3 linked regions of the Canis lupus familiaris genome follow. The protein of the gene in region 2 interacts with the protein of the main gene of each other region in a biochemical or structural test. Links are inferred from orthologs where the notes say so. Each region holds a gene or a part of one and is shown on either strand. Other genes may lie near its edges. The genes, in order: UBE2C, UBA1 and UBE2E2.

Region 1 (3,747 bases), on a different chromosome or scaffold from region 2:
GCATCGTGCTGTTGAAGCGCCTCCACAGACCTGACCGAAGCCAAGACCCCTGGCTACACTTGGCAGCCCTCCTCCAAGGCCCTGGCACCCACGTGGCGGAGGCCACTGCTGGGACTGCACCTGGATGGATCTCAGCAGCATTAAGCTGTGCCTGGGCTAGTCTGTAGTGACTCACTACAGAGCACCCCCAGACTGGCGTGTGGTTCTGTTTGTAAAGTTATCGGGTTAAGAAACAATTAAACAGTTTGTAATAGTGAGCTAGATGTGCAGTCTGTGTTGTAGGGGCCAACAAAATACCGAGGGATCTAGAAGTGGGTGTAGGAAAAAAAGGACCAGGTATCCCTCCCCCATCACAGGTAGACCCAGTAAGGTCCCCCTGCCCAGGGCATTTCTGCTTCTGAGACGGAGCTGGGAACACCACGGAGCACCGTGCCAACCTTCCCTGGCTCTCGGCTTGTTTCTTCATCCCCTAAGGTACAGAAGTGGCAGGATGTGATGGCTGGCACCAGGAGGTCGATGACAGACCAGAAGAAAAACGCGGAGAGGCTTTTATTACCCCCGTTTTACACGTTGAAATACTAAATGCCGTGCCCGAGGTCACACAGCAAACGCTGGGAACGAGCCTGTTTGTCGCAGTCTCCCGCTCTTGCCGTCATTCCCCTCCCATGAGTTTTCAAACACTGGACCCCACGGAGGTGTCCGGGACGTCACGATGTGTCGTAGGGGTTTCCGGGGAGAGGGAAGGGTACCAATGTCGTCAGGCCGGAGACGCTGCCTTCCGCCGGGAAGTAGGGAATCCCGCTGGGCGCGCCGGTCGCTCCCTCCCCAGCCAGGCGTTTAACCCGAAAGGGTTCGGCCCACGTGGACTTTTTCTTGGCCCTTTAATGGTCGGCGTTTTCCAAAGGCCACCACTCCGCCGCGGAGTCGTTAGTTAATGACAGCCTCTTCTGCCAATCGCCCTTCAGAAGCAGGTTCCCGCCGCCCAATAGTGCTGCGCCGGGGGGCGGGCCTAGCAGTTGCGCGGTGACAGAGCGCCCCGGCGCGCCCCATTGGCTGGATCAAACCCAAGCGAGCCGCTGATTGGCCGGTGCTGCCGGAGGGTTACGATTCAAACGCGGGCGGGCGGGCCCCGGCCCCGCAGTTGCAGGCCGTGCTCTCCGGGTTCCTGCCTCCCCCCCCTGCGCCGCCGGGATGGCCTCCCAGAACCGAGACCCAGCCGCCGCCAGCGTCGCCGCCGCCCGGAAAGGAGCCGAACCCAGCGGGGGCGCCGCCCGGGGCCCCGTGGGCAAGAGGTGAGGAGTATGGAGGTACCATTGGCCGGGCCGGCACGCCCTGGGCCCTGCGGTCCAGAGCTCGGACTTCCGGGCCCCCACCTCCTGGAGTGGGCAGGTATGCGGGGCCGGAGGGCACGCCGGGAGCTCGGGCTGCCCCCAGAGGGGCCCCGAAGGCGGACAGGAGGAGGCGCGTGGCCGGGGCCCTCCGCAGGTGAGCCAAGATGAAAGTGTGCCTGGGCCCCCGGTGGCTTGGAGTAGGGGGAAGCGGGGACGGAGTGGGGAGAAACAGGGATCCGGCACAGGGAGAGGCGTCAGAGAAGCTGAGGGGCCAAAGAACAAGGCAGAACAGGGATCCCTGGGTGGCTCAGCGGTTTAGGGCCTGCCTTCGGCCCAGGGTGTGATCCTGGAGTCCCAGGACGAGTTCCTGCATCGGGCTCCCTGCGTGGAGCCTGCGTGGAGCCTGCTTCTCTGCCTCTCATGAATAAATAGTAAAATCTTAATTAAAAAAAAAAAAAAAAAAAAGGCTTAACTGAACTAAACTGCCTGAGCCTGGAATCAGGAAGGGAGAGAACTCTGCCAGAAATGGGGTTGAGTGTGCCCCTGCCGCGTCTGGCTGGCCTCAGGGTTGGAGAAGCCTCTTTGACAGCTCTTCCAGGGACCCCGGGGTTGGGATTGGGGAAGCGGCACCGGGTGGAGCGCTGGCCCATGCAGGCCCCCAGATGACTCCCAACACTTACGTTGCAGGCTGCAGCAGGAGCTGATGACCCTCATGGTGAGTGACTACCTGCCCAGACCCCAAGCCAGGTGATCCACCTTCCACCTCCCATTCACTTATCAGTAGTGGCCTCTCCTACATCAGGCTTTTTGCTAGACACAGCACAGGAGATAAAAGGATGAGTCGGGTTTCCTCTCTTCTGGGCCCCACCTACACCTTTCCTTCCAGCAGTGTCTACTCCAGGTCCCCCTCAACCACCACTACCACCACCACCACCTTTAAGTTCTCTCTAAAATACAGCTCCTGGGATCCCTGGGTGGCGCAGCGGTTTAGCGCCTGCCTTTGGCCCAGGGCGCGATCCTGGAGACCCGGGATCGAATCCCACGTCGGGCTCCCGGTGCATGGAGCCTGCTTCTCCCTCTGCCTGTGTCTCTGCCTCTCTCTCTCTCTCTCTCTGTGTGTGTGACTATCATAAATAAATAAAAATTTAAAAAAATAAAATCTTTAAAAAAAATAAATAAATAAAATAAAATACAGCTCCCCCCAAAAAAATAAAAAATAAAAAATAAAATACAGCTCCCGAGGATCCTGGATGGCTCAGCGGTTTAGTGCCTGCCTTCAGCCCAGGGCGTGGTCCTGGAGTCCCGGGATCAGGTCCCACATCCAGCTCCCTGCATGGAGCCTGCTTCTCCCTCTGCCTTTGTCTCTGCCTCTCTCTCTCTGTGTCTCTCATGAATAAATAAATAAAATCTTTAAGTAAAATAAAATACAGCTCCCTTGCTATATGTTGGCAAATCAAACTCCAATAAAAAATACATACAAATAAAATACCGCTCCCTGATGCCAGGCAAGTCCTTCTCTCTGTGCTGCCTGGTCCTATTTCCCACACCCAACTCTCCACCCTTACTCTTCTTAGGGAATATACCTGTCAAACTTTCAAATAATTTTTCCTAGATGACCTTGTCTACTTTAACCCTGAATATCCAATTTAAATCCTTCTATGCTGATGTTGTATATCTCCCCGGTCTGTGAATGGTCCTTAGGCTTCGTTTGCAGCCAGTACTAACTAGCATGTTGAACCCAATTCCCAGCATCCAACAAGCTGCCTTCTGTTTCTCTGCATAACCCCTCCGCCCTTAACACATCCAGTACTCCTCCCCCACGGGGGCAGGTTCAGCCCCAGGAATCGAATCACTTCCTCAAAAAAGCCTATCAGTTTGGTCTGGTTGCTTTATTTTGGATCAAAATTTGACGAGCTTAAGGGGAAGGGTTTTACCCACTGATCCCCAAAACCATATTCTGCAGCCCAGCAGGTGTTGTTTCTTCCCCAGATGTCTGGTGACAAAGGGATTTCTGCCTTCCCTGAATCAGACAACCTTTTCAAATGGGTGGGGACCATCCACGGAGCAGCTGGCACAGTAAGTATAAGGTTGAGGTGGGTGAGTCTGGGGAGAGGTATGAGGTGAAAACCAAGTGCAGGTCAGCTTAAAGCCTGGCAGGACACTTCCCTGTTCTGTTCCTGTGCTCTGAGCCTGTGGCCCTTGTCTCCCTCTGGATAGTAAGAGGTTGGGTTTAAAGCGTAGCTTTCCATCTTAGATGCCTAGAAAGGGCAAGACGGAATGAAGAACAGAGGGTACGTGAGGACTTCAGCCAGTGGAAGGGCACAAGTCCCAAGATGGCAGCTCCCATTGCTGCACATCTGGTTTAAGTCAGAAATCCAGGGGTCCCCTGCGGGCTCTGTCAGTGAATGAATGTAAA
Region 2 (3,647 bases):
ACCCAAACAGGCCCCGTGTGTCTGCCACCACCAGCTTGATACCACGGCTGTGACAGAACTCACCGACCCGCAGCTGGTCCTCCAGGGGGGTGTTGGTGAGGACCACCACCTGTGGAGAGGTGGAGGCTCAGGACAAGGGCCCAGCACTGGGGCAAGAGGGAGAGAATAATGCAGGAAGGCCGGAACCAGGGGGGACTCAGAAGAGTCCTTAAAGCTTTCACAGAATTATCTACTATGGTTCCGTGGATACTGTCTCCCAAAGCATCTACTACGGATCACATTCGGCCAGGGTGAAACCCAGCAAAAAGAAATGCGAATCCCTACACCAGGGCGGGCAAGGTAGCAGACAAGGTAATGAGGCAGCCAGGAGGGGAGAGTGTAGAGAGGAGCTGACTCATTTACGCATCAACACCCACTGCTGCCCGCCTACAGGCCTGCCTTGCCCTGGGAGACACAGAAGTAAACCTCCCTTCACAGCCAAAGTCTGAGCTCACTCCTACCACACCCATTTGCTTCCAATTCTCCAGACAATGCCTGCTGAACCAGGTACCTTGGGACTTTTCTTTCTACCCGAATGCTCACCCTTGCCCACCAGGGTGAGCTCCTACAACTACTTCAGGTTCAGCAGCAGGGTCCGGCCACTGGGATGCCCCAGGGCACAAACTCAGCTCCCATAGCTCCTCTTTCGGGCTCAGAGTTTTTATTTAACAAATAACCAGATGGCCCTTATCATGCACCAGCTGCTATTCTAAGCACTTAGCCCTCACAGAAACTCTACAAAGTAGGTACTACTACCGGTCCCAAGTCCACAAACAAGAAAAAGAAAACAAAGCAGAAGAGATCAAGTGACCTGCCTGAGATCATACTAATAGAACTGGAGACCCACTCAAGGGCAGTCTGGCTCTGGCCTGTGCTCATAATCACTACGCTCTATGGCCTGCCCATTCACACCCCTGCCCTCCGAAAAAGCAGGTCCAGGGTCTAAAACCCACCTGCATCTCCAGTGTGAAACCTGGCACACAGGCTGGCCCATTTAATAGAGAACAAATGATCAAAGGAAAAGTGGGTTTGGAGAAAACTGGGCAGGAGGCTGGGTGGTGTGCAACCCCCCACTGCGCCCAAGGTACCTGAAAGCCACTAAGGAAGTCCTCGACCAGAGGCCCAGTGTAGGCACTGACAGGCACATAGCTGTTGAGCTCAGCGAGGCGGGGCTGTGAGACCTCAGCCCGATTTTTACCGATGTCCTCCTCCCGCAGGTAGAACTGCAAAGGGGAACCAGGGAAGAAGGGAGTGGCAGTCGAGTCTGGGGGTGGGGGACCAGCACCTCAGCAAGGGAGAAGGACTAGCAAGAGGTACCTGGGAGGAGAGGTCAGCCCACTGGGCAGTGCCCTGGTCATGTAGGGTGACAGCCTTGACCCCGCCAAGGATGATGTTCTTGGCAATCTCCACGCCCAGGCCCCTCAGGCCTGACACCAGTACACTCGATGTCTGGAGCCTCTTCATTGCCTCATGGCCCAACACATACCTGAGGGGTTGGGGGGTGTTCCAGGTCAAGGTCTCGTCCTCCAGACCCAATCCTCCCAGTGCCCCTCCCAGTGCCCCTCCCCGTGCTTAGCCCAATTGAGGCCCCACTTACAGCTGCCGAGAGTAAAGGCCCTCATCTATGTCTGCTTCGCTGCCGTTCTTCGCCATTCCCTAGAGACAGAGGAGAAGAACAGGTTTGGGTAGAAACAGAGGAGGGCGTGGACAGATGCACGGTGATACCGAAGGCTCTCCCACCCACCACTCTCACTACCCTAACCTGCCAGGGTCCAGGAAGGAGACACTTACGTTGGTTGGCACCGAGGGCACTTCGGACAACACGGAGTGGGCAGGGGAACAGTTAGAACCCGGCTTTGGATCAGGCCCGGACACGCGACGTTTCTTGGACAGCGGCGAGCTGGACATCTGGAAGGGAAAAGGAGTATCAGAGGTGAGCCTAGGGCATGTAGGTATTACAGTTGGTTAGTGGTGACTGTAGGGGAAGGGAAGACTTAAGGGCTGGTATCTCCATTTTACAGAAGAGGAGGCAGGTACAGAGAGGTGAGGTGACTTGCCCAGGGTCACACAGCTGTCAGAGCTAAGATCTGAACCCAGGTGGTCTGGCTTGCAATCCATGCTGCTGACCACTAGGCCATTCGCCTTTCTCCCCAGCCCAGCATGAGGGAGAGACTCCAGTCCTGCGGGGTGAGAGGAGTGACAAGAAGAATGTCCTTGTGGGAAAGTCAGAGGAGGGTGTCAGCTCAGGTCAGACCCTGCCACTCTTTGACAGACCTCATTCAAGCCCCATTGGCTCAATTGCCTCACCTGTGCAAAGGGCTAACAGTGCCACTTACCTACCCCACGGAGTTGCCGAAGTGATGAAAGAGAGCCCAGACCACAGAGCCTGGCACAGAGCAGGCAGGCAACAAAAAGCAGCCGTTCTCCTCCCCCTTAACCCCCGTGACAGGGGTGCAGGAGGGAAATGTGGCTTAGACTTCCATCAGGGTAGCATGATGGCAGGAGACACCTTGCCGGAGACCCAGTACCCGGAGGGGCTTGGGGAAGAGGGTTTTCCAAAGCCCCCTCCCCCCACCCAGCTCTGGGAGGGGAAAGGCCCAAGCCAATAAAAAAGGTCATGGGAAGAAAAAATACACACTTTTGCCTGTGGAGTCCCTTAAACAGGTTAACAATAATGGCAGATGAATATTTATTAGGAATCCTCCCAGTGCCAGATGTCACGCTAAGCCTTGCTTCACTTTGTCCTTAAGGCATCTCCGTGAGATCTGGACTACCATCAATAACATCCCCCAACTCAGAGTTGAGGGAAAAAATTCACTTGGGGACATTTGGTGATTCGACCAAGGTTCCCATAAACACAGTGGCCAAGCAGAGCCCAAGACAGGATCTGCTGACCCTGAAGCCTAGGCTGCTGCCTGAGGTTATCACATTTCATCCCCTCGATGGTCCCGGCCCTGCAAGGCAGGGCTGAGCACCTTTGCCAGACAAATGAGAAAACCTGAGCTCGTGAGGTTGAGCTAACCTGCCAGGCATCACACACTGGGTCCCAGAGACAGAACAATGGAGTCTGCTGTGGGAGTGAGATCTGTGTATGACCAGATCCCCATGCCAGAGACAACAGGACCCTCAATCATTTCCCCTCGCCACCGATGCTCTCCCCACTGTAAGCCACCTACACTGAGACTTTCCTGACCCCCAAACACACCGAACACGCCCATGGTACCCAAGATTCCATCTTGGCACCTGTCACACTCTCACACTAACCAGGAGAACAGAAGCTCCCTATTATCTACCAAGAGCTTACTGCCCGTCAATCACAGGGTAAAGGGCTTTGTCTAATCCCAACAATGCCCACGAACGAGATAACCTCATGCCCACATCACAAGTAAGAAAACAAAGGCTCAGAGAGAGAACTCAATCACTTGCCCACAGTCATGCAGCTGGTGCGGGCCTGTTTGCCAAATGCCTCCCGGGAGAAGAGAGTCAGGACCAAGCTCAGGGCCCAGCCCATAGAGCTAAGGGATGAGGTGTGAGGAAGGAGGACCCAGAAGGCAGGAGGCTGGCTAGGACCCTGGAGCCAATCAACCTAATTACTGGGAATGCAAAGC
Region 3 (3,647 bases), on a different chromosome or scaffold from region 2:
CTCTATTTCATTAAATTCTGCTCATGTCTCTATCTGCTTTTATAGGATTTACTGTTATTCTTTTCTTTTCCTTAAGCACTCAATAGATGCCTTTCCTCCTTTCTAATTTGTGTATTTGAAACTGTAGATTTCTTTATGATAACTGTTTTAACCAAATTGCAAAGTTTGGTATTGGCAGTCCAAACATTTCACTGTCATTCAGTTATAAATGTAGCCAATTTTTTTCCTTTGATCCAAGAATTATTTGAAAAATGTGTTTTTCAGTTTCCCAAACATTTGATGGAGAATTTTTGTGGTCTTAATAATTCTTTGAAATATCTTAAGCTTCCTCTGTGGCTTAGTATGTGATCAGTTTAAATATGTTTCTTATGTGAATGGAAAAGAATGTATATTCTTTGTTAAGTGTGGAATTTCATTTTCATTCAATCCCTTGATTTTGTTAATTTGGTTGTTCCTATTTTCAGTATCCTTACTACATTTTGGTCTGGATGACTTCCGTTACTACAGCAAGATGTCCCTCTGATTGTAGACATGTCATTTTCTCTATAATTTTGCTAAATTTCACTTTTTATATTTTTGGCTATCTTATTAGGTACAACAGTTTCAGAACTGTTACATTTTTCTGATGAGTTGTTCATTTTATCATAATGCAGCAATCTTCTTTATTCATTTTGCCTTAAACATATATTTGATCTGATAGTAATATAGCCACTTAAGCTCTTTTTTTTAGTTGGTGTTTTCATAGTACATATGCCCACGACTTAGAATTCAGAGGAAACATTTTTCTCCTCACTTCAGAGCATAGGCTTTCTCCAGCACATGTCTTTGCTATCTCTCCCAGAAGGCATTTTCTTTTCAAGTCCATCCATTTACTGGGATCCCTGGGTAGCTCAGGGGTTTAGTGCCTGCCTTCAGCCCAGGGCCTGATCCTGGAGTCCCAGGATTGAGTCCCACATCGGACTCTCTGCATGGAGCCTGCTTCTCTCTCTGCCTGTGACTCTGCCTCTCTCTCTCTCTCTCTCTCTCTCTCTCTTCTCTCTCCCCCTCTGTCTCTCATGAATAAATAAAATCTTTAAAAAAAAAAAAAAAGTCCATCCATTTACTAAAAGACTAGCTGCTCAAGTGGCCTAATCTATATAAAGCCTCTCAATTCCAACCTCTTGCCACATGTAGACCTAAGATTTCCCCTTTCTCCATGAAGGCGTCAAATCCCAAGCCCCCATTTTATCAAGACTAGCTATTCCCTCTTCCATAGGTCCCACCCCTGGCAGCTACACTGTCAGCTCATGTGCTTAGTGCGATTCTTGGTTTTCAGTTCTGGCCTCTGGGAAATCTCTGTGCAAATTCAGCTATGCATTTTTTTAAATGTTACAGTTTCCTCAGCATTTTTAGGTATTTGGAGTGTGTATAGAAGAAATGTTAAAGTTCTCCATAAGGTCTGGCATGTGGCTAGAAGAACAGGTCTTATTAGGAATACTCATCTAGCCTGAAAATGGTACTGTGTTGTTCAATAATTGTAGAAGACTGGATCTGTCCTGAGTCTTGATTTTATGCAAACTAAATAAATTGAGTTTGAGTGGGTGCCCTGGTTAGGTGGCAACACCTACAAATATCTGCCATATATTTTTTGGTTCATAGCCATTTTGAACTTAGATACCAGAAGACTGGTATTTAAAAAAAAAAAACAAGATTTTTTTGTATATTTCAACTTAAATGTTGAGAATACTTATAAACATGTTATTAATAAATAGTATTAATATCTTATTATTATTTACATAAAACTTCTATAAAACAGAATTTTACCAGAGTTATAAAACTGATTTAGACTTAACTTTTTAATTGAAGTTCTTTAAAAATGTTATAAACATATCTCAAAATTATACCTAAACAAAGTGCAGTGGTAATCTACCTATCATAGGGAAGAGGTAGACTATGTTAATATTATATTCAAAATATAGAATTTAAGGAGGAAAGGATTCATAAATTGTAACTAGTATAGTTTCTTTATAAACTTAAGGTATATTATTTACATACATGCCTAATTCATGTTTTCAAACTGTGACAGAGAATAGTATTTATGTCCTTTTTACAATATTCCAGTGCTGTTTTGAACTTTAAAATATACAAGTCCTTAAAACAATTGGACTCCCAACAAGTTTCCTTTGAAATTTTTATTTTTTGAATTTTTTTCTTTCAAATGCTTTTAGAAATCACAGTTAGTTTTTCCCTTATGAGCATTCCTACAATTGCACTAAGAGCAAATTCAGTCCCCAGAACATTAGTTAAGTGATAGGACTCTTCATCAAAAGCAAAAGGACATGATTTTGCTATTGGGGTTTAGTTCTCTGTGCCAGAATGGTTCAAGTTCTAAAATAATGATTTTGTTTATTGATTCTTCTTATGTGCCTGAGGAGAAATTTAAGTATATGGTTCAACCAGTGACCCTTGGAATATTTTGTCTAATAAAAAGTATATCTATTTATAACAACTTTACATTTTCTTCTAGGTTACCTTCCGAACAAGAATCTATCACTGTAATATTAACAGCCAGGGTGTCATCTGTCTGGATATCCTAAAGGACAACTGGAGTCCAGCCCTAACCATTTCTAAAGTTCTCCTCTCCATCTGCTCACTTCTTACAGATTGCAACCCTGGTAAGAGACTTTAAGTCCAATATTGAATTCTTGAATAAGTCTATTCAAGACTTAAATGTCAGACCTTAGTGAATTGTTTACTACCACCACCACCACCACCACCACTACTATTATAACTATTATTATTATTGATTTTAAATTTCCATAGTATGTAACTGCTTTTGTTTTAAATTGGGTTTTCTCATTAGTCTTTTTTAAGGTCTATTATTTGCCAAGAAGGAAAGAGCATAGTGTGATAAAAATTAATGAAAAATCATTTTGGATAGGGAAGTGCATTTAAAGAATGCATTATATTCTGCTGCCAAATAATAATAAAAATTCAAATTGAATAGCTTAATCTTTAATTAGATGCCTACAGAAGATGTTAATTTGAGAAATGTGGGCTATTAAAATCTGATAACAACCAGCAGCACCACACAGACGTGACCTTGTTGGCATTTTAATAACCATGCGTCCTTTCAAGCTAATAGAACAAAAAAGCTGAATGGTTGTCAACTAGGAACTATAACTTTCTAGGAAAACTAAAGAGAGTTTATAGCCAAGCCTTTGTGGCTTGCTAGGGTGCTTTATGCTCAAAGTTCTTATTTTCTGTGTTATACTAAATGTGTGATTATGTGTCTTTGACCAGATTCTCTTAACCAGAAGACAAACCCACTGCCAGTTTTTTACATATTTGGGTTTATTTTGGAAATTACAAAAATCCAAAGGTAGCTACAGAGTTTTCATTGATTTTTTTTTTCAATGAGAAATTCTTCTTTGAGTATTTAATTAGTATTGAAGATGAAGTTCTGTCTTCCACCTTCAGGAATAAACTCACTAGAAGGTGAAGTTTTAGACAAGAGAGAAATGACAAAGGGGAATCAGGGTCTCTCTTAGGATCCTGGCTGGTCTATAAAACATAAAGAAATTATAATCTGTTTGACTTTTGTACGTTACTTATTGTTTAATAGAAATTTTTTAAAATAAGGACATATAAAAATACTTCTACCAAAA

What was found.
Region 1: of the proteins of UBA1 (region 2) and UBE2C, one has a biochemical effect on the other in vitro, tested with the Homo sapiens proteins (5 studies listed by BioGRID, with this or other methods). The link is inferred for Canis lupus familiaris from reciprocal best matches to the Homo sapiens genes UBA1 and UBE2C.
Region 3: of the proteins of UBA1 (region 2) and UBE2E2, one has a biochemical effect on the other in vitro, tested with the Homo sapiens proteins (4 studies listed by BioGRID, with this or other methods). The link is inferred for Canis lupus familiaris from reciprocal best matches to the Homo sapiens genes UBA1 and UBE2E2.

The regions. Positions count from the first base shown.
Region 1 is NC_049245.1:33,750,457-33,754,203, forward strand, and holds the start of UBE2C (ubiquitin-conjugating enzyme E2 C), read left to right. Parts: upstream 1-1,127; 5' UTR 1,128-1,191; coding exon 1,192-1,292; intron 1,293-1,363; exon of another isoform or gene 1,364-1,485; intron 1,486-2,018; coding exon 2,019-2,046; intron 2,047-3,320; coding exon 3,321-3,407; intron 3,408-3,747. Other genes in the region: DNTTIP1 (deoxynucleotidyltransferase terminal-interacting protein 1), read left to right, coding at 1-34. UniProt on the Homo sapiens protein: Accepts ubiquitin from the E1 complex and catalyzes its covalent attachment to other proteins. In vitro catalyzes 'Lys-11'- and 'Lys-48'-linked polyubiquitination.
Region 2 is NC_049260.1:40,993,300-40,996,946, reverse strand, and holds part of UBA1 (ubiquitin-like modifier-activating enzyme 1), read right to left. Parts: intron 2,220-3,647; exon of another isoform or gene 2,097-2,219; intron 1,948-2,096; coding exon 1,831-1,947; intron 1,696-1,830; coding exon 1,637-1,695; intron 1,526-1,636; coding exon 1,357-1,525; intron 1,263-1,356; coding exon 1,128-1,262; intron 110-1,127; coding exon 3-109; intron 1-2. UniProt on the Homo sapiens protein: Catalyzes the first step in ubiquitin conjugation to mark cellular proteins for degradation through the ubiquitin-proteasome system.
Region 3 is NC_049244.1:20,515,246-20,518,892, reverse strand, and holds part of UBE2E2 (ubiquitin-conjugating enzyme E2 E2), read left to right. Parts: intron 1-2,506; coding exon 2,507-2,654; intron 2,655-3,647.